3 linked regions of the Drosophila melanogaster genome follow. The protein of the gene in region 1 purifies or fractionates together with the protein of each later gene. This does not show direct contact. Each region holds a gene or a part of one and is shown on either strand. Other genes may lie near its edges. The genes, in order: nesd, tum and pav.

Region 1 (6,777 bases):
AATGTTTGTTCGGTGTGAACTAATATCGTTTGGTCGTTTCTTTTACGTATATCATATACATATATATCTGACGTCTTTTAACGTCTATATATTTTTATAAGCAATCTATTTTTAACTAAGCAGCACTTACACAACTTTAACTTTTACATTGGAAGAATTACAAAAATATAAAAATATATTATTAAATTGATGACTCTTGGTTAATTGAATAATTATAAGAGTTGCTTTTTGCATCGTTTTTCAAGTGATTTTAAAACCATTGCAATAAAAACCCAATGAACACTAGAAGTTTTTCAAAAATTTAAGAACTGACCAAAACAGAGAATCCGACCTTCGAGCTGCCCACCTTGCTTATTATTCATTTGTTTGGAAGCGAAAGGCATAGAAAAGGTCGCACAGCCAACAGGTAATAATTTGGCACAGCATAATCACGATTTTCGTAGTGGCGCCGCAGGAAAGGAACCATTTATTACACGAAATGCGCGAAAAGACACTCCAAATGGGAAAGTTGGTTTCGTTTTCCAAAGGCAGGTGGTTCGAAAAAGGTCCACTCTTTTCGTTTCGGGTGACAAAGCCACCAGCTTTTGTTTGCCCACCCCAACTGCGCTCTTGTTTTAAACATTTGTAGTTGGCATAGCGGTATTTATAGCCCTGTTTATTTGTTGTCGCGACTTTTCGCAAATTGATAAGAAACCTGCAATCGGCTCTATTTTTAAGGCAAGCGAAAATTACTTACCGCTTCGCCGGTGTTTCTTTTGTTATTGTCGGCGCTCAAAATTTGTTGTTGCTCGAGGCCTATTTCTTGCAACAATTAAATCTAAATGACCGTCTGCCAAGTATTGATTGGGACCAAAAACATGTGCACACGCAAGGAATTGTTAGGCATTTACTAACGTCGATTTACACCGAACCCAGGCGTCGGCGCTCTATTTTTTTATGGTGGCATCCAAATGTAAATAAATGCCGTGCTTTTTTCATTCGGTTTTTGTATGCACGTGATTTAAGGTTGCCCCACCGTACACTCACTCACACACACACACACACGCACGCAGCGCACTCTCGCACACACATACACGCGGGCGCGGGAGCTGCAGTAATAGTATCGCTACTTTGCACCAGTAAATTCCGAAAGAAACTAAACTAACGGGAAAACCGAACCGTACGGCGCAGCCATTTTCATTCATGCCCCCAAAGTCGCGTGTGTATGGGTGCCAGCGTGTGTGTCGGCCTTTACCGTTAGTTTGAGAGGCCATTTGGGGTTTGGTTTCGGCCATGTTGCCCTACTCACCGTTCAATTTAGCGGTTTCAAACGCCACAGTCTGTAACTTTAGTCCTTTTGTCGTTGTAAAAATTATTTAAATTTTGACGGTTAAGCAAATGCAAATTATGATTAAGAAATTTAAAACTACAACCGCAACCTTCAATAGCGTTATATTGGTTTCTATTTTAAAGAGAGTTATTGAACATTTGATACAAAAATTGAGTTGTAATATATTAAGGGTAATGCCGACACTTCTATAGCTGCTCAATCCTTTAAGCTTTTTAATATGGTTAGTATTTTATAGAACAGATTATATATTCTATGAAAATGTTTCTAGCATGGGCAGCCTTTAGATAGTAACAGTCAAAGTTTAAGTTAAAATTACTTTAATAATTATTAAAATAAACTTTTCTCGGGGAATACCCTAGTGAGAAATGTTCCGCCCCTGAATGTATCGATAGTCATGTATCGGAAAACAGCTGATCCGCCGGCTCCACGAATTTACCTTGTTACGTCGCCTCTGAATTTTTTGAAGTAACTTCAGGTTTTATTCAATTAAAATGTTGCCGATTGCACGTGGAATTTACATTGGACTGGTCAACATTACCCGGAATAGCCGGGGAGCTCTTCACACGGCCAGCGCCTTGAGATGCAAGGCGGAGACTTCGACTGAAGAAAATAATGCGGCTGCCACCGAAGGCGAAGGCGAGGATAACGCTAGTGGTTCCGCACCAGACCCGAAGGATCGCAGCAAACCAATCCCAGTGGAGACCTCGATTCGATACTTAAAGAGCGCCGCTTACAAGCAAACCTACGGCGAGGACTTTGTGTGGACGCAGTATCGGTAAGACGAACTGAAGGCATACACGTGAAAACTTCCATTGCATTCGCATCTAATCTCTTTAGGCGCAACCACAAGGGCATGTATGCGCCGCGCAAAACACGAAAGACGTGCATCCGCCAGAACCGTATCAGCACCGGAAATCCCTGTCCCATTTGCCGTGATGAATACCTGGTGCTGGACTACCGCAACACGGAGCTCCTGGAGCAGTTCATATCGCCCCACAGCGGAGACGTCCTTAGCTACTCAAAGACAGGCCTGTGTCAAAAGAGCCACCTGCGTCTAATGGTCGCCGTTCAGCAAGCCCGCGACTCCGGGTACCTAACATACGATGTGCCCTTCAGGGAGTATGATTACAGCGAGTACTACGGCCAGGAGCAGAAGCAGAAAGCTTAACCAACTAATGATTAACATGTTTTTATTAAAAGAAATTACTGTAAACAAATTCAGGTTATTGTTCGGAGTATTTATGTGTTAAAGGAAGTATTTTCTGGAAGACGCTCTGAGACGGTGTAATATTATATATTAACTAACTTTATCAAGAGTTAAAACCAATATGTAAGGTTTCGAGAATAGGACATCCAACGAAATTGCAACATCGAGACACTGGAGTTTGCCCGTATTATTTATTGACGCATATCAATAGGATTTTCGGTTAGCGCTAAATTTTAATTTATAAACACTATGTGTACACAATGTACCCCTAGACCAATTGAATATTTTCCTTGTTCTCCCCTCCGAGTTCGTCCTCGAGGAGTTGTTGATGCGATCGCTGAGCCAGCAGCTGACCGGATTCGTTAAAAACTCGCACATTTTTCTTGCAGTTGTAAAAGCTGCAATTACCTAGCAAGTTGTCCTCGTTGTAACTAAAAAATAAGGATATAAGTGGTAATTTTTGAACATGTAAAATACAACGTATTTTCATTTACCGCTGAAGTTCGCTGAATTTGTTTAGAACCAGGACCTTCTCTGTTCTTTGCTCTCCCAATACGAAACCATCGGCCAGGATTCCTAAAGCACAGTTTTCAAAACTGCACTTGCTACCCTGCAGATTAACCGAAGCGGATTTCTCCAGCAACTCCAGTCCAGTCTTGCATGTTTTAAACTGGACGCTTCCCAGCTCAGCACTAGATTTCGGTCGCATCGATACACCCACAGCAAAGTTTTCAATTAGGCAACTTTTGAGTTCCACGCTGGCGCCTGGCATGCAGACAATACCCTCTTGGGTGCTGGAGCTCCCATCGCCCAGCAAGCGACACCCTCGCATGGTCAACGTTCCGTTGCGCAGCAGGATCCCTCTACGGACATGACGACAATCCAAAACCAATTCCGACAAGGTATAGTCGCCATCAATGACCAGCAGGGTGCTATCCTCATCGCTCGAGCACACCACAGGCAGCAGGGAAAGATCTGCAGCAGGACTTAGTATGGCTTCCGGCTGAGTGAGTCCCCTTAGGCTGCCATTATCGTTGAGGTGCTCCAAGAATTTGATTGTATGCTCGCCGGGCGAAAGTAGAATATCATCGTTGCTCTGACAGATGCTCAGGACATCCTGCAACGTATTGGACAGCTGCACTTTCGATTCCGGCTTGACCAGCGTCTGGGCCAGCTTTAGCAGTTCCAGCTGCTGCTGCAGTTTTCCCGGCAAGGTTACCACATGGCTTATGGAATTCCGCTCTACCAAGAGATCCTCCGATTGTCTGGTTCTTCCTGAGGAGCAGCGAAGCCGCTTGAGGCTATTAGACTGTAGCTCGCTGTAGGCTCGCCTCATTTCAGGATTTTCAAGGATCTCGAACTCGCTCCTTATGATGGCCATGCGCAGGTGCAGGCACATCAGATCTGTAACCGGCAGACTGGACACATTGAGACAGCCATTGGCACTGCCCGCTTTAGATTGCTTTCTAGCGGGCTCTGCTACGCTGTCATTGAGTTCCACAGCCTCGTCGTCGCTCTCGGCATCACTGAGATCCAGTTCCAAGTAGTCCAGACGCTGCTGAATGTATTTGGCTTCGGCGAGCAGGGTGCGCATGTGCAGGGCCAACGGACGGGGCAGTCGGTTCTTGCTGAGATCGCACACTAGTTGGATACGAGCCTGCAGATGCTGTTGCACCCAGTCGCGATCATCGTCGTAGTCCTTGTCCCAAGGCATCCACACATGCGTATAGAAGAACCGCAAACGATCGATGCATTCAGCGGTGGTATCCACATTTAGAGCTGCGTTCTCCTGCTGCACAGTGGGCCACAGCTCCACTAGCGATACTTCATTACTCTCCGGCAGGTGGACATCGCTATCCTGCACGGCGGTCACCACAAATACCGCCTTGAGCTCGTCAAAGATCACCTGCTCCACGTAGCCGTAAACAATGGTGGGATAGCGTAGTTTCAGATCCTCGCAAATAACGCGTGGAATTTTCCAAATTGCCTGCCATCCTATATATCCCATATAGATACATATATGTATATATAGTTGCCTTTTGTGCACGAGTGTGTGTGTGTGTGTGTGTGGGTGGCTTACCTGCAGGCTCAATTTTTAATTCGACGTAGGATTTCCACTCGGATCGAACCTGGGATGCGGGCATCACGGCTCCCTCCCACGAAAGCACCGCCTCCGCTTCTTTTAGGCGCTCCAAGTACGATTTCTCAAAGGTAAACACTTCCATTTTCCCCTTTTGAATGAACGATGTGTTCGTTTATAAAAATTTTTGAAATGCGTGTGCAAGCAAAGGCTTCGATAACGATTGTTCGGGCGGCGTTATCGCGCAGTGCAACCATGTGTTGAGTTTGGCTAGATTTTTACTCGTGGCTATAATTTAAGCACCTATATAAATATATTTTAGATGTATTTTGTATGGTCTTGAATAAATTCACAATTTATTTAATCACGAACCAAAATATTTAGATTTGTTGACAAGCTCAGATATTTGAAATATGAGCTCGCAATCTAGCTATTTCGAGTTAGTCTCAGTATCAGCTACCTTCTCAACCAATTATCGCCAGCAGTGCTGCAAGTATCGATTACAATGCTCATTCAATGCGGTGTTACTCGCGTAAACACAAAATTTGTATACAAATTCAACGTTTTAATTGAAGTCTGAGCACTATGGCCTCAAATAGCATGCCAGAGGAGAATTTCGAGGGCGGTGATGTAAGGAAATATTATAAGCACCAGTTCCAATGTCTCCGATTCTAAGCTAATCACCATTTTTAGTTCAACTTTGATGACGACGCGGAGGATGACCAATTTGTGGCTACCAACTCAGGACGAAAGCGCCTATTCAGCAAGGAGCTGCGCTGCATGATGTTCGGATTCGGAGACGACAAAAATCCATACACGGAAACCGTAGATCTGCTGGAAGACCTGGTCATTGAGTATATAGCTGAGACCACTCACCGGGCAATGGAGATCGGTCGAACAGGCCGTGTTCAAGTCGAAGACATTATCTTCCTGGTGCGCAAAGATCCCCGAAAGTACGCTAGGGTGAAGGATCTTCTGACCATGAACGAGGAGTTGAAAAAGGCACGAAAGGCCTTCGATGAGATCAAGTATGTGGGTGAGTATTGCAAAAGTTCGACATTTCCTAAGAACTACATGTAATCAACCATTTAAACGAATAATTCCCAGGCACCGAAGGCAAGCTCAAATGACAGCGGTCAAAAAAAGCCACACCAAATCCAGGTATAAGCCAAACCTAGCAGTTAGCTCCAAGATGCGAATTATTTTTAATGTCTTTAATACTCTAAGCTAGCGCATAATAAACTAATCAAAATAGTCTTCAATGTCAATGTCGGGATTAAGAATATCATCGCCATAGGGCTCCAAATCAATGCCGTTCAGGATGAGGTTCTCGCAGGTCTCTGCGAGATCAGTGTTGCCGATTAGCATTGCTCCCCGTAGTCTGCCATTTTGAAGCACAAACTTGATGTATTCCTTATTTCTCGTGCAGCGCACCAGAATTTCGTAGTCCCTGCCCAAATCCTGACCATTAAAGCGTCCCAGCAGGACAACAGGATATCCGAAAAGTTTGGTTACGTGGCCAAAGAGCTCGAAGCAGAAATCCTGGTACACGCTTTCACCTTCACTGGCAGCCGCCATACTCCTGCCCGCCATGGAGCCCATTTGGCGAGCCTGAGTCCACAGGCGCATCTGGAACCAGTGCATTGCGGCTGGCCAGTTGGCCGTGCACACATCACCGGCCGCAAAGACATCCACCAGATTCGTACGCATCATTTCATCCACCGATATGCCACCATCGTCGGAAAATTGAAGTGGCGAATCACACGTGTAGTCGGTATTCGGCCAAACTCCCGTTGCGGAAACAATAAAGTCACAGGTCAACTGCTGAAAGCTCCCATCCTCATGCTCCAACTTGACTATAGCACCTGCGTCGTCGGCGAGATCCTGAACGCTGCTTATGCGAGATTTGTAATAGATCTTTGGTAGGCGGTTCTCTTCCCCTTCACGTGCTCCACTCAAGTCGACGCTGCGATGCCAGTCCGGACCCAATGCAGCTCCATGGTTGTTAGTCTGCTCCTTGGGCAGCACTTCACTGTACCGCATTCGCTTAATAGCCACAACCGGAGAGGAATCCTTCGCATTACATTCATTCATGGCTATGTGAAAGAACTCGGCTGCTCCGGGATCCACAAATGTGGCCGAGATGTGAGAATCTTTAAC
Region 2 (7,143 bases), on another chromosome or scaffold:
AGATTACTGCTGGTCTCCACCAGCCAAATGTGCTCCTCTCGTTGCCTTCTTGAGCCATTTTCTCGACGCACCCGCCAAATTAGAAACACCAATACCACGATTAGGAAGCAGAATATTACTATAACCAAGCTGAAAACATACGCTTGGGGTGCTAAAAGTAAATAAATTAGTATTAATGAAGAAACTTTTGATAAATACACAACTTACTTTCACAGTAAGGAAACTTCCTAGCCCACAATGCGTCCTGGCAAATGTTCTGGTTCTCGCCTTTCAGTCTGTGCTCCGCCGGGCAGTCGTAGTAGATACGGGTGCCATTGGCTACCCTTGATCCTACAGTGAGGATTGCATCTGTGAAGTGCTTAACCATAACGTTTGGCAGTTGGGGAACCACGCACTCCCCGTTCTCCTGAAGAGGATTTGGTCGTGACGCCTTCCTTGTTACAGGAACAGTGGGAGTTATCCTATGGATACTACTTTCCGTAGTTGTACTTGTCGTTGAACTGACTGTAGTCGTTGGTATGGTAACGCCCTCGCAAAGGGACTCCAGCTCATCGTCTCCATCTCGGCAGTCACGGATGCCATCACACAATTTGGAATAGGTCATGCATTGGCCAGAGGAGCAGTACATTTCCCAGTTGTCGCAGTTAGCCTGCTGCATCTGCGCCCGGCACAGCCAACCCTGCTCATCCGAACCATCCACGCAGTCCTGGACGCCATCGCAAACCGCTGTGCTGGCTATGCACGCACCGTAGCTGCAGCGAAATGCATAACCCGGACACCAGACCTTCTCACACATGGCGACCGTCTCATCGGAACCATCCAAGCAGTTGGCGCTCCCATCGCACAGCTGGTCCAGTTGGATACAGTCGCCTCCTCCACAGCGATGCCCGCAGCTTGTGGCATTTTGGGATCCCAAGCAAATGGTGACGGCTAAGGAGAGAAAAATCACCAGCTGAATTGAGAGATTCTGATGCGCTCCGAACATTCTAAATGGGTTCCAATCGACAGACTGACGGTTCCATGGCGCAGTTAAGGGTATTATTACGAGAGTTGTCCAAACCAGTTTGATGATGATACGGCTCTAGCTGTGCACAATTATCAGTCATGGGGTTTTCTGAGCGGCAGTCAGTATTTTCAATGACCGAGCTTATCACGTTTTTAGATAATCCTATCAAAGGGATATTCCAAAGTTGTATCGAGTTTGCCATTAGTTGTGATGCACGTTTTGTGGCGAAACATTCCCGTTTCCAAATCCAAATCCGGAAATGTTTAATATACTTTTGGTTACTAACATGCCTCCAATAATTTGCCATCAAGAATATAAAAAAGTAAGTTCACTAAACAGATTCAAAAATATTTGAACTTGAATAAAAACTTGTTATATTCTTTTATCGTTTATTTATATATTTGTTCATTGTTCTTATTGCTTTTCAAATGCATATTTTAGTTTATTTCTCTGGTGAGTATACTTATGTTAGTACGATAATAACGTGCTTTAGTTTATAATCGAACGCATAAATTATAAAGAAAAGCTTATGGTTGGGTTGGGTACAAATACAGCTCGGGGTTGGCTGGCCGGAAACAAAAAACTTGCAAAATACTTGAAGTAAACTTAAGTAACACGTCAAATGCTTTCCAACAAGGAAAGTCTCGTTATTTCTTGTGCGCAGATGCCGGCGGTGTGCCGTAAAACTTCCGCTTCTTAATGGTGCCTCCTTTGAAGGGAGTTGCTGTGAAGGAGAGATAATTAGAATAATTAAAAAAATTAGCTCATAAATAACTCACCATATAGCGAGAGTAAGTCATTTTTGTTGCTTGGCACCCGCTTGATAACTGTGGCCGGTGTTCTTGTCGGATCTATAACGATATATTGCTCCCAGAACGAAACGGGCAGCTCAAGAAGTGCCTTCATCACCTGCTTCTGGGTGAAAACTTCCGTGTAGATCGCATGCTGGTCGGGATCTGGTGTGGAGTAGCCCACAATGGTGGGGCCAAAGATGAGCGAGATGTTATCGATCGGCATTAGCACGACTGGGCACTGGGCAATTCGTTGGAAGTGCAGTATGAGGAAGGCCAGCGTATCCCTATTGGCCTGTGGTAGCTGCTTCACCGACTTAACCAACATATCCTGGGCAGTTTTGGTGTCAGGATTTTGGACTGCGTTTGCGAAATCCTTCCATTGGCTGGTGGGAATGAGAGGCTCTGTTAGGGACCTCAGGAAATCCTTGACACAACAGCACAGCACATAGATATCCGTGTTGCCCAAATGTGGAGTGGCCTTGCCTCGCAGGAACTGCTCCTTGAGGGCCTTGTACTCCCGCTCCGACGAGGACAATCGATAGAGGCCAACCTCGGTCAGGCCGCGGGCTTCAATCTCATTTACGCAGTGCACAATCAGTGCCGGGATCATGGGTGCAATAGATGGTGCAAAGTCCGTTACATAGCCAGTCATGGTCTTCGTCGTCGGTGTTCCCGTTTGCGGCACACAGCTAACGGTGAGCAGATACCGACAATCGATGTGACAGCGCACCGGGCAATCCCGACATCTCAGCCCAACGGCTCCAAACCGTATGCTGAAGAGTATAAAAAGTATTTAATTAATAAAAAAAACCTACTTGGAGCAGAACTTCTAGTAAGCTTACCGTTTCTGACACTGAACGCAATTGTCGCCACGCAAGAATGTCTTCTGACTGAAGGTGTGGTTCCTCATCAGTGGACGGTGCTGCAGTGGCGTTCCGGATTCAGCGACAACGTGAGGTGCCATAGCATTTACCGGCGTCAGCGGCGGTGCGGTGGCCTCTTTAAGCACCGATCGCCGTGGCGTCGAGGATAGTCCGTCGCCGATCCTCTCGTTGCCGGCAATTACAGGCAGCGACTCAATGGTCGACTCTGCACGAATCACGCCCTGTCCATCCTGGGGTATGGTGACCTTGGTGGTGGCACAAAAGCGCTCAGCGCCTTGACCCACGTCCACCGTGTGTTGCTCCACTCCGATTCCGACGCTAGAGCGCCGCGATTTGCCAGTGGTTGGTGTAGTCCCGGACATACTGCCATTCAGTCCAGTGCTCAATCGCGATCTCTTGTTGCCAACGCTAGGAATCTGGTTCTTGGGCAGCGAAGGACGATGCTCTCGCCAAGATTTTGATGTGCGCACATCGAGGAAGTCGTCCTCGGAGTGTGTAATAGACAAATCCGACAGCAACGATCCGGTGGAGTTGATGTCGCCATAGGACTTGTCCTCCCGCACGGCATTCAGGGACTTGCGCTTTCGCGACGAGGGCAGTGTGTGCAGAAAGGCCAGCTTGTCGCGGGTCTCGTTGTTCAGATTGCGCTCGTGTCGCAGCAGATCTGCCACAGCCATGATCTTGCTCTCCATGGCATCTCGTTCGTGTTCCGCCTGGCGGCGCGCCTTGATCTCCATGTCGATGATGCGGCGTGCGTGAAAGAGTTTGCCCTCCAGGTCGCCCATTTTGGTCAACGACTTGTCCAGCTCGTTTTGTATCCTGGCCGTCTCGGCCGCGTAGCCCGCGCACTTTTCGTGGTACTGCTCGAACATGCGCAAGAACCGCAGGAACTCTAAATGGAATACAAGCATCATGTAGGGCTTCATTTGCCTTGCGTGTTTTCAGTTTTACTCACCCTCCTCAGGAGTTCCATCGGTAAGCACTTGCATGCAGCGTCGCAGATCATCGAAGGACGCCAATGCGGAGAGCGCCATTTTTGCTTGTCTCGGTAGTTCTACGAATCGGTTTTCACTCGCAGGGACTGCCTGCACACTGGTTTCCTTGATTCAACTTCGAAATCTACTGAAAATCAGTAGTATTTACCCAAAAACGAGTGGCAAACGGAGCACGCTGCAAAAGACGCGCTGAATTTTTTCAAGTTCCGTTGTTTTCAAATTGACGCCATCTGCGCAGTGTGACCATTAATGGGTGGCTCGAAATAACAGTAGGGTAGTCATGCTAACAGAAAATATCGATCTGATCGTGTTAGAGATGATAGAGATTGTTTCAAGTTAACAATTCTTTCGGAATTAAATAAAAAATAATTTAATGTTATCCTATTAATACTTTTGAAATGATTATATTAATAATAATATAATTACAATATTTTTTTTTATTTACAATATGTCTTATATAAATTCTTATTCACATAAGCTACCATCACTAATATTTATTCCGACCCGAGTAGTGTTGCTAAACGAATCACAGTCTCGATTTTGTTTGAAAAATGTCTGTCCACTCACCCAATCCTGGCTTAATCCTCCAGAGCAAGCGTTTCAATGGACTGCGGAACATCCTGGAACGCGAAGGTCCCTTCTGCAAGGACGGTTTCGCGGCCTCGTCGGAAAACCTGGAGTTCTTGCAGACCAAGTGCCAGGTTCTGATCATCGGAGCCGGTGGCCTGGGCTGCGAACTGCTGAAGGATCTGGCTCTGATGGGCTTCGGCAACCTGCACGTCATCGACATGGACACCATCGAGCTGTCCAACCTGAATCGCCAGTTTCTGTTCCGTCGCACAGACATTGGCGCCTCCAAGGCGGAGTGTGCGGCTCGCTTCATCAACGCAAGAGTGCCTACTTGCCGGGTGACGCCGCATTTCAAGAAAATCCAGGACTTCGATGAGTCCTTCTATCAGCAGTTCCACCTGGTTGTCTGTGGCCTAGACTCCATTGTCGCCCGGCGTTGGATCAATGGCATGCTGCTATCAATGCTGCGATATGAGGAGGACGGCACCATAGATACCAGCTCCATAGTGCCCATGATTGATGGCGGCACCGAGGGCTTCAAGGGGAACGCACGCGTCATCCTGCCCGGTTTCACGGCCTGCATTGAGTGCACGCTGGACCTGTTCCCGCCGCAGGTCAACTATCCCCTATGCACCATAGCAAATACTCCCAGGCTTCCGGAGCATTGCATTGAGTACGTAAAGATCATACAGTGGGAGAAACAGAATCCGTTTGGAGTGCCCCTCGATGGGGACGATCCCCAGCACATTGGTTGGATCTACGAACGGGCACTGGAGCGGTCCAATGAGTTTAACATCACCGGAGTGACCTATCGCTTGGTCCAGGGCGTTGTCAAGCACATCATTCCAGCTGTGGCCAGTACCAATGCAGCCATTGCCGCCGCCTGTGCTTTGGAGGTCTTTAAGTTGGCCACCAGCTGCTATGACAGCATGGCAAACTACCTGAACTTCAACGACCTGGACGGAATCTATACCTACACCTACGAGGCCGAGAAGTCGGAAAACTGCTTGGCGTGCAGCAATACACCGCAGCCGTTGCCGATTGAGGATCCCAACACCACCACGCTGGAGGATGTGATAAAGCTATTGTGTGATTCCCCGCGTTTCCAGCTGAAAAGCCCAGCCTTGACCACTGTGATGAAGGACGGCAAGCGGCGGACTTTGTACATGTCCGGGGTAAAGAGCATTGAAGAGGCCACCCGAAAGAACCTTACTCAGAGCCTGGGCGAACTGGGTCTACACGATGGACAGCAGCTCACAGTCACCGATGCCACCTCGCCGTCCGCCATGACTCTGCAGCTGAAGTATCAGTCCAATGAGGTGGAGATGGTCTAAAGTGTATCACAGTAGATAACAATTTTAATACACAAGTCGTATATGTAAATAAACAGCAGGCTTAGCCTCGAGTTACGCATCTAAATGCTCATATCCAGTATGTACTTCTTGCCGGTGAATCCCTTGAAGCTCAAGGCAGCGGCCGCCGCGTCTTTGAACTTTGCCAAGGGCACCATCTCATGGTTGGGGGCCACGAACTTTCCCTGCTCCATCAGCTCGAAGATCTCCTTGAACATTTTCGAACGCTCTGGTGAACTGTAGTTCTCCTTGGACCAGCGAGTCATCCAGAAGCCTCTAAATGCAATGTCCTTGAAAATGAGGGGTCCAGTGGCCACTGTGACGGGTTCGCGGGACATTCCGCCGTAGGTGACCAGCACTCCGCCATTGTCTAGATGACGCGACACCTCCGTGGCGCTTTTTCCGCCCACACAGTTGAAGGCCAGACGGGGCTTTTTCAACTTGCCCGACTTGAAGATGTCACTGGTGCGAATTTCGGCCTCTGTTAGGACCTCGGTGGCTCCCAGGCACTGCAGCATCTGCTTCAATTCGGCAATTTCTGGGCGGTCGCGTACAATGCCAACGCTATTGATGCCCCAGGCTCGGCACAATTGGTGCACTGCCTGGCCGACGGCGCTATTGGCGCCGTTTTGGATGACCGTGTCACCCGGACAGAGCTGCACAAAGTCCTTTAGCATTCGGTAGGCAGTGGTGGGATTCACTGTCGAGGTGGCGGCCTCCGCCAAGCCAACCTTCTTGGACACGATCAATAGTTGATCCTCCTTGTAGACGGCATGGGTGGTCCAGGTGCCCAGGCCACTGGCCAAGGGAATGACGTGCTGTCCTGCCTCAAAGCCTTTGACTTTGTCGCCCACGCAGATGACCTCCGCCACACACTCATTGCCGCCAACGGCTGGAAACTTGGGCTTCACCGGGTATTTACCTGTAAAGGATTTATAATAATCATTATCAAAGTGACTTTAAACAAGCTAGGCTTCTTTAAAATTTAAAGCCACAACCTTGAGCATCGTTCAAAGTACAAAGATGTACTGATAACATTCGTTTAACTTTAAATGGATTACTTCTGATTATCCCATAACTGACTTTCAAGCAAGTGGGTATACTTAGAATACAAGTATCTCTGATCTTCAGTTCTTATCCAGTTGTTTCAGCAGAAGATTATCGTTATTAATTATGCAGTTCATGCCGGTTATGGCTATATTTCAGTTGTATCATGCATAATATATGTTTGTTTGTGATATATCCTAATGGCCAGCATACCCTGAATGGTGTTTATGTCCGCCGGGTTAATGGGAGCTGCCAGAATCTTCACCAGCACCTGGTTGTCCTTGGGATCGGGAAGTTTGTCCTCCACCAGTTGCAGAACCTCCTGTGGTTCGCCGTGCTGTGTGTACTTCAAGGACTTGGCCACCACCGACATTTGGCGGCTCCATTGGGCTGCGTTGATGCGAGATAAAAAGCCTCGGCGCAACATTTGTTAGTAGTAGTTATGATTTTTGACCATCAAAAGAGTAAAACGAAAATTATTATGCAGGTTAGTAT
Region 3 (7,787 bases), on another chromosome or scaffold:
TGCCGTCGGTTCCCGCAACGGAACGGAGGAAACAAAGCTAATGGTCCTCGACTTTGATGTTGAGGGTGCATGTGTGAAGTGCTCATAGGAGACGGTGGGGCACTTCCGGTGGAGCCTACGCCGCCGTCTCGCTTGGATTCAGGCGGTGAACGGTCAGGGACGGGGCAGCTAGTATACAGCTTCAAGCGAGATTTCATTGCAAACTCATCCAAACACAGAAAAGCACACACAGACAGATGCCGCGGATGTGAGGGTCCGCAACGTAATGTTGAATGCCTTGCCAACAAAACGCAACTGCTCACATACACCACACACACCATTAACACCACACACACCGTAACACACACACAAAAAACATTAAACAATTAAGGGAAAGAAGAGTAGGGTAGTCGGGTGGTCGGGGTGTGGCTGTGGCTGTGAGTGTATATTGTTAATAATACCCTTTTAAATTACGTTGCTTCATAGCCAAAATTCGTTTTCCACCGTAGAATAATTTCGCTTCTTAGTTTTTATTGCTATTGTGTATATGGCAAGAATCGATTACCTTAATGATAATATTATGATTATGATTACGTATTATAAAGCGCAGATTTACAACTGCAGATGCAAATAATTGTTTCGCGTCGTGTGAACCTGAGAGAGCGTTTATGAGAACAGAGCTTTATATTGATTAAATTGTAATTTGTTTAAATGAAATTTGGATAAGATGGATATGTTAATATTGGCCCACCACTTGAGTTGAGTTTGCCGCCTATTATGTTTACATTTGTGGTTTTGTTTCGTCTCGTCCAACTTGTTTTGTTTAATTGTACTTGAACGGGTATGTACCTAAATTCTATTATCACGTTCTGATTGTTTCCCTTTTACATTTGATTTGATTCATTTGTCGTGCAGTAGCATTAGCGATATTGGCTTCCAATTCCAAATTCGAAATTCCTCATTTGCCAGGAACCTGCCACATTTGCCGCACATAGCGTTTAAGAGTCATCTGCCGAACTCATCGAGCAGCAACTCACACCCACGAAACAGCAACTGCAACATGAACACTGCAACACAACAACACTCACACACGTGAAATCATTAAGCGAACATATATTTTAATTATAGACTGATTTATTAGTAATTGAAATTAATCTACAAATATGTATGTGTAATGGTACCGTATGTATTTCAATAAAATTTATCGGTTTAAGCATAAATCTGAATAAACGCAGGAATAATAATAAAAATAGTTAAAACCATCTATGTGCCACATGTTATTGCTTCACGGAACTCTGGGAGCTTTGCAGCCAGAAAATCTAAAATTGATAAAAACCAAATTGATCACTTTCAGTATATGCGCGTAATTCACTTTATTTGTTCATTTTGTGACTGGACTGGAGTTGGGTTCACTCCGAAAAACAATAAAATATTTAATACTTTATAATAACACTAGAGTAGTTCTATGATTGGACGATGCTTGGATAGTTTCTAACAACTGCTCTTGGCAGATACCCTCCGGGTACCGACTATTTGGAGCAGGAAACATTTCCATTTGCGAGGGGTTGCGAATTCATTTACGGGATTATTTATACAGATTAACTTTTCTTTAATCAAACAAATCACTTCAATGCGATTCAACTCCAAAAACCGAAGTGGGTGAGTAATAAACTTAAATTTAAGTTATGGAAACTAAGTAACTATGAACTAAATGGGTAATTGACTTTGAGAATTCCACGCTGAGTCATTTTTAGATTTTCGACTTCTTGCTGCTGTGTCCCTCAATGCCGAGATTGCAGCGGGAGGCTACGTCCTGGGCTGAGGTGACCGTGCTGGGCACTGCACCGCCGCCCAGAGCCGAAATGTTGCCATTGCTGGGTCGCTTTCGCGTGGGCGAGTGAACCGGTGACTTCTGCTTGAGGCACTCCACATCGTTGAACACAACTTGGGCACCACCGCCACAAGTGGGAATTACATTGCCCTTATACAGCTTCGTCTCCACATCGCCATCCGTATCCGCATCCTGCGAGACGAGACAGTACTTCGTAGTTCCGTGAGCAGTCAACTCCTTCAAGTCGGTTAGTTTCGTTACGGATTTGCGATTCTTCAGATACGGCTGCATAATAGTGCCAAGCGGAACGGGATTAGCTGCCCGATGCTCCAGCCACTTGTCGCCTGCGGATCGAGAGCGTCTATGCCGATTGTTGGCCGCTGCTGCACCCTGTTGGGATATAAAATTATCAATAGATATTGCAATATTCTAGGATTAATCATACACTTACATGACGTGGCGTTGCATATATATCTGTTCGTGTAGCTGGCACCGAGGACTCCTCCGTGCGCGCCGTATATGCACCGCGATCTTTCTCATTAAGTATGTTTTCCGAGCTCTGTGACCGCGGCAAACTGGGCAGATCTTCGGACTGCAGAATGTTGGAGACCAATCGCAACTTCTCGTCCTTGATGCGCATGCGTTCCTGCAATTTCACTCGCTGTTCACGCAGCTTTAGTTCAAACTCTCGCTTATTTTTGTCCGACTCAACGGCCAGCTTGGAGCTGAACTTCTTCTTTTGCTTTTCCTTCTCGTGCTCCTTTTGGGTGAGCATATTCTCCTTCTCGTTCAGCTTGAAAGTCAGCTCTTCAATCTGCCGTTCTTGCTTGCTTAGCGTATTGTTAAGCACGTCAATGGAGCTCTCGTGGATGCGAACCTTCTTCTCGAGTGCCGCACTGCGATCGCGCTCCTGCTTGTAAACAGCCTTTAAGGAGGCGAGCTCCGTGCGCAGCTGAAGATTGTCGCGGTCAAGGTTCATCAGCATCTGCCGGAAGCTGTCACCTGAAAGTTGTGGAATTAGTATTTCAATGTTAAGATTAAGAAAGTGACGTCTTACATTTAATGTCCAAGTTGGCACGCAGCTTCTTTCGCTTTTCTATGCGCTGCTCCAGATAATGCATTAGCTCGCGGATTTTGATCTGTGCCTCGGGACTGTCCATTTCGTAGGCGGGAAAATCGGGTCCCAAACTGTACACCAAACCCACGTCCACCTCCAAATCCTTGGCCTCAGGAATGCCCAGCTCGTTTAGATTATTAACGGCAATCTTGAACAGCTTGTTGGCCTTGCGACGGCCGGGAGTCAGACCCAAATCTTGCTTCATAGGAGTCGCCCGAGCAATTTGCACCTCCTGGGTCATCTCGGCGAACTTCATCACTTGCTAAACGGGATAAATAAATTTTAGGGACCAGAGTACATTGTTGTCAGAAAAATAGTTTACCATATTCTCATCATAGTCCTCAATTCTTGGGTTGATGCACACAATCATGGACACCTGGCCTTCGCCATCGAAGTAGTTTTTAAACATGTGTGTGATCTTGGAGTCTCGATAGGGGACCTTCTTGGGTGCCAATCCATTGCTAGCCGCGAGTTGGTTCTCGCGCAGATATTCCAGGCAAGTGCGCAGCGTCATCAGCGAATTATTGATGTTGCCCGCCTCACGGAGTCGCACACCGGTGTTCTTGGTCCTTGAGGATCGCTCACTGCCCGCCAGATCCACCAGGGACAGTTGACTCACTGTGATGTTTTGCCGGTCCTGAACCACATTCTCACCCTGGCTATCAGTGGGCGCCTGCACCAAGCGTATATTGAACACCGAGTGACTCCTACTGGATTCTGCATTGAGAACAGTGTGTCCCATTCGTTTGCGCTTCTGGCCCATTTGAAAGACCTCGAGGGCGTCCTCCACGGTCTTGACCTCCACCTCTGTGACGCCGTGGACGAACATGTGTCGATTGGCATCTTCACGAATGATTTTGCTCTGCAAAGTCCTGTCGGGTCAAGAATACAGTTAGATTTCTTTAAATGTAATGCTTAATAAATACTTACTTCTGTATACCCGAGTCCTCAAGGAGGTCGTAGACGCTGTTATTGTAAATTTCAATATAGGTGACAAACACCGAGTACATGTTGTCCTCATCCAAACCCAGCAGCGGAATTGGCTCCACGGAGGCCTGGGATGCAATTTCCGGATCCGAGTCCTTGTGCCTGAAGGCAAATCGTCCTGAGCCAGCAAAACGCTGGTTCATCTCGTGTTGGCGCTCCAAAAGCGCATCCTCTTCGGACAGGATCTCGAAGCCATTAAGCTTGTCCGGCTTGAAGACGAACTTCTTGGCCTGGTAATCTGAAATGGTGCGAAAGAGCACGTCCAGGCAGCGCGGCATGATGCCGCGGTGTCGCAGGTTGCCGGTCATGGTGTACGTTTTTCCACTTCCAGTCACGCCGTAGGTGAAAAGCAGACTGTTTCGGCCTTTCAGTAGGTTCTCCACCAACGGCTGGGCCACAGCTGCGTACACATCCTGCTGCGTGGCATCCGGCTGGAAAACGTGCTTGAATATGTACTGAACCTCGCGCTGGGCGCCGTTGTGTGGCTTGTGATGCTGCAGCAGCTGATCCTGCGGATTCAGTGCGATCGTCGTGGAGTTCTTGACCCTTAGGGAGGTGAGATCTGCGTCGGATTGTAGTGGCCGCACTCGACAGAACACATTCACTGGATCCCTGGCCTTGTCGGAGGTGTCTCGTCGCTGTTTCTCCACCGTTTGATGCACCCGCGGAGTTTTCGGGACGACACGCATCGGCGTCCTGGGTCTGCAAATGGGTATTCTCATTGATGGAGTTGTTCTTTCGGGAACTGTCATATCACTTACACTGCCTTCATGTTGTCAGCTCGTTTTTGCAACTAATTTGATATACGGGAGTTGGGTTTCTTCTTGTTTTGTTGCTGGAATCGATCTCTCTTTTAGTTCGTTACCTTCAAATTTACAGCGCCAAGCGACGCCACGCTTGGTTTTAGAGTGACCGAACTTTAGAAAGCGGTTAATGCTGCAAATACCATCCCCTGCTCCAATATATACTTGATACATACTGAAACCGAGGCTATGTACAGTGCGTGCCATTTGAATAGGTTAAAATATTTAGATATACTAGATTTTAAACTAATTTAATACTTTTATTTATGATCTCACATACCAAATTAAAAGTACAATGTTTATAAATTAGTATGATATTAAGGTATGGAATGGTTATGATGATGCCAAATATTCTTTTAAAATTAATTAAAGATCATTTGAGGTCCCTATTGCTTTTTATTAAACTTTAGCACTGAGAAAATTTTCCGCATTAGTGCCGGTCCGTTCCAGTAGCCGTTCATCATCAGCTTCCAGTAGAGCACCGGCATCAGCTCCTTCTTCATAAAGAACATGGAGTACCTCTCCTTGGACTGGTCCAATGGAAAGGTCTCCACGGGGGTGAGGTTGTAATCAAACTCAGCCAGGATGCAGGAGCTGTAGCCGGTGACGATGGGGCAGGACGAGTATCCATCGTAGATATCCGTTGGGGCTTTGCCCTCGATCGCCGCCATTACGTTTTTGAACACAACCGGTGATTGGGCGGCTGGAGGTGAAAAATCAATTGAATATTCTGATCAGGATTCCCAACCCATTTACCTGCCGCCGCGGCCGTCTTCGAGTTGGGACTGGACGCCGAATCGCCGATGGCGAACACGTTGCTGTACTTGTTGTGCTGCAGCGTCAACTGGTCGACGTCCACAAAGCCAGTGGGGGTTACCAGTTTCTTGCAGTTGGCCACCACATCCGGAGTGCTCATCGGCGGAGTCACATGAAGCATGGAGTACTGAGAAAGATATAATACTTATATAAGTTTAATTTCATGGCCTTCAATTCTCCTATTTCTGCAATACTATACGACTTTAAAATTGATCTTAGTTAACCTACTCTTCATATTTCTCGCTTTAAGTAGAAAGATATAGTTCTAGGATCTAGATCTAGATCTATATAGTATCTAGAATACCCAATTAATTGACCAGCACTTACCGTTTCCTCATAGTGAACTCCTGGTTTGGCGAGATCCTCGAACACGGCTATATTATCTTTATGTCTCACTTCAACGAGATTTCTTTGAACATTAAGCGTGATATTTCTCCTCTTGATCAGTTTCATCAGGGCCTCTGCGTAATGCTTAACACCAAAAATCACGGGAAGCGATGTATTGTAGATGATATTGACGTTGTCGCGACGACCCATCTGAAAAGGGTTTCAAATTGAAGTTGTTTGCCAGATATTCTATCTAAATGATGCACACCTTCCTAAAGTAGTGCTCAGATATATAGGCGATTTTCTGCGGTGCACCTGCACACTTAATGGGACAATTGGGAAACGTGAATATAGCATTTCCTTTGTTGGTCCTGCGCAGACATTCGTACACATGATCCACGTACTTGGGCGAGTAGATGGAGCAAACATTACTGTCGGGGGTCTCCAGGGCCTCCACCAGGCCAGGTATCTATGGATATGTGGATATGGATATTAGCAACTATTAAACGTACTGATACCCTACGTACCTTTCCATAATTGAGCTGCAGTCCGGTGGCGATGATCAGGAAGTCGTACTTGATGGTCTTGCCACCAGAAGTGCTAACCGTATTATTATCCGGATCGAACTCCAGCGCCTTCTCCTTCACCCATTTGGCCTTTGTGGGCAGCACATCGGCCATTTGGCGGTGGCTCTGATCCAATCTCTTCATACCACCTCCTATTAGGGTGAACATGGGTTGGTAGTAATGTTTCTATGGGGAATTATCGCGCTATGTCATAATGGATTATTTACTGCCTTTGGGCTTACTCACATCTTCCGGTTCCAGGACGACCACCTTGTCGCTGCCCAAACGTGAGGACAACTTGGCGGCCATGGCACACCCACCGGTGCCACCGCCCACAACCAGCACTTGGCATCTGGAAAAAATAGGATTTACTTAATTGCTGGAATATACAATGACAGACACCTCAAGGGAGATTAGTACAGTCGCATGACCACACCCACCATCAGTGCCATCTAACCATGGCCAACAAGTTATCTCTTCGTTATCGCCATTAATTAGTTACTAGCCTAAACATACTAATTCAATTTGTTTTGGTAGATATAGATATAGATTTGCCATGCCATTTGTTTCGCGGAAAATGTCATAAACTTTCGCAGCTATATAAACAAACTTACTCTTGCCGCTCGCGGTTCACTCGAGATGTGGACAGGAATCTGGTGGAGAAGGCCGTTGGAGCATGGTTGTGGGTGGCTAGGAGAAGCTTCTGGCACTGGCTGATGGTTCCTGGAAGGCGACGGTTCATCGCAACAGCTGGATGATCTTCGATCCCTCAATCTGCGTTAAAGAAAAACAAAACGGACTGCAAGTGCCCACAACCGATTGAAGACTGGCAAAAAAGAGCTTTCAATGGGGGGTTATCAAACCGGCTGCACTGGCAAAAAGTTTGGTCTATTTCAAATTTAGAAAAAACTTTAGAAATTTAAAAAATGCCGAAGATGCTTAGGCGGCACTGTGTAGTGCTTCCCAACATTTCGACCGGCTATCAAGGAAAACAAAACGAGTGTGGGAAAATTTGTCAGTGAAATCGAACATAACAACTGATTTTGAACACAAGTAAATAACACATTAGAAATTGTTAGAATTGTTTTAAGCGTACTAATTTGGAAAAAGTGTCAGGCTTCTAAAAATGTGGTATTTCTTAATTTCGCCCGTCGGCCATAAAAATCAGAGTGTACGTGGCTGAAAACCAGTTTTTATGTGGTAATAAAAATGGGGAAAACGCAACAGGTTGCACTGTAGTTTTCGGATGGGTGTATTCATAGCTTAACCTTGAAAGATGGCAAAAGCTTTTCAGCATGCTTTTGTACTCAGCTGTTTAAAGCTCATTTGGTGCTAAATAATCCAAAGCTCTAAAGTGCGCG

The links.
Region 2: the proteins of nesd (region 1) and tum purify together in Drosophila melanogaster (affinity purification with western blotting; one study listed by BioGRID). This does not show direct contact.
Region 3: the proteins of nesd (region 1) and pav purify together in Drosophila melanogaster (affinity purification with western blotting; one study listed by BioGRID). This does not show direct contact.

The regions. Positions count from the first base shown.
Region 1 is NT_033779.5:20,092,194-20,098,970, reverse strand, and holds nesd (nessun dorma), read right to left. Parts: upstream 5,000-6,777; 5' UTR 4,763-4,999; coding exon 4,618-4,762; intron 4,533-4,617; coding exon 3,032-4,532; intron 2,969-3,031; coding exon 2,806-2,968; 3' UTR 2,718-2,805; downstream 1-2,717. Other genes in the region: mRpS18B (mitochondrial ribosomal protein S18B), read left to right, coding at 1,822-2,105, 2,168-2,498; Taf13 (TBP-associated factor 13), read left to right, coding at 5,203-5,247, 5,311-5,653, 5,725-5,747; Pyroxd1 (pyridine nucleotide-disulfide oxidoreductase domain 1), read right to left, coding at 5,860-6,777. UniProt on the Drosophila melanogaster protein: Required during male meiosis for completion of spermatocyte cytokinesis and possibly also required in female germline cells. Also involved in ring canal formation in male and female germline cells.
Region 2 is NT_033778.4:13,854,768-13,861,910, forward strand, and holds tum (tumbleweed), read right to left. Parts: upstream 3,923-7,143; 5' UTR 3,719-3,922; coding exon 3,640-3,718; intron 3,577-3,639; coding exon 2,643-3,576; intron 2,574-2,642; coding exon 1,786-2,573; intron 1,731-1,785; coding exon 1,654-1,730; 3' UTR 1,383-1,653; downstream 1-1,382. Other genes in the region: CG6553 (uncharacterized protein), read right to left, coding at 1-151, 208-985; Uba3 (Ubiquitin-like activating enzyme 3), read left to right, coding at 4,231-5,583; CG16935 (uncharacterized protein), read right to left, coding at 5,664-6,523, 6,862-7,075.
Region 3 is NT_037436.4:4,239,777-4,247,563, reverse strand, and holds pav (pavarotti), read right to left. Parts: upstream 4,831-7,787; 5' UTR 4,687-4,830; coding exon 4,676-4,686; intron 4,617-4,675; coding exon 3,858-4,616; intron 3,800-3,857; coding exon 3,250-3,799; intron 3,190-3,249; coding exon 2,868-3,189; intron 2,813-2,867; coding exon 2,262-2,812; intron 2,201-2,261; coding exon 1,730-2,200; 3' UTR 1,331-1,729; downstream 1-1,330. Other genes in the region: ago (archipelago), read left to right, coding at 1-88; Sqor (sulfide quinone oxidoreductase), read right to left, coding at 5,104-5,420, 5,474-5,660, 5,861-6,070, 6,129-6,329, 6,388-6,612, 6,673-6,778, 7,041-7,168.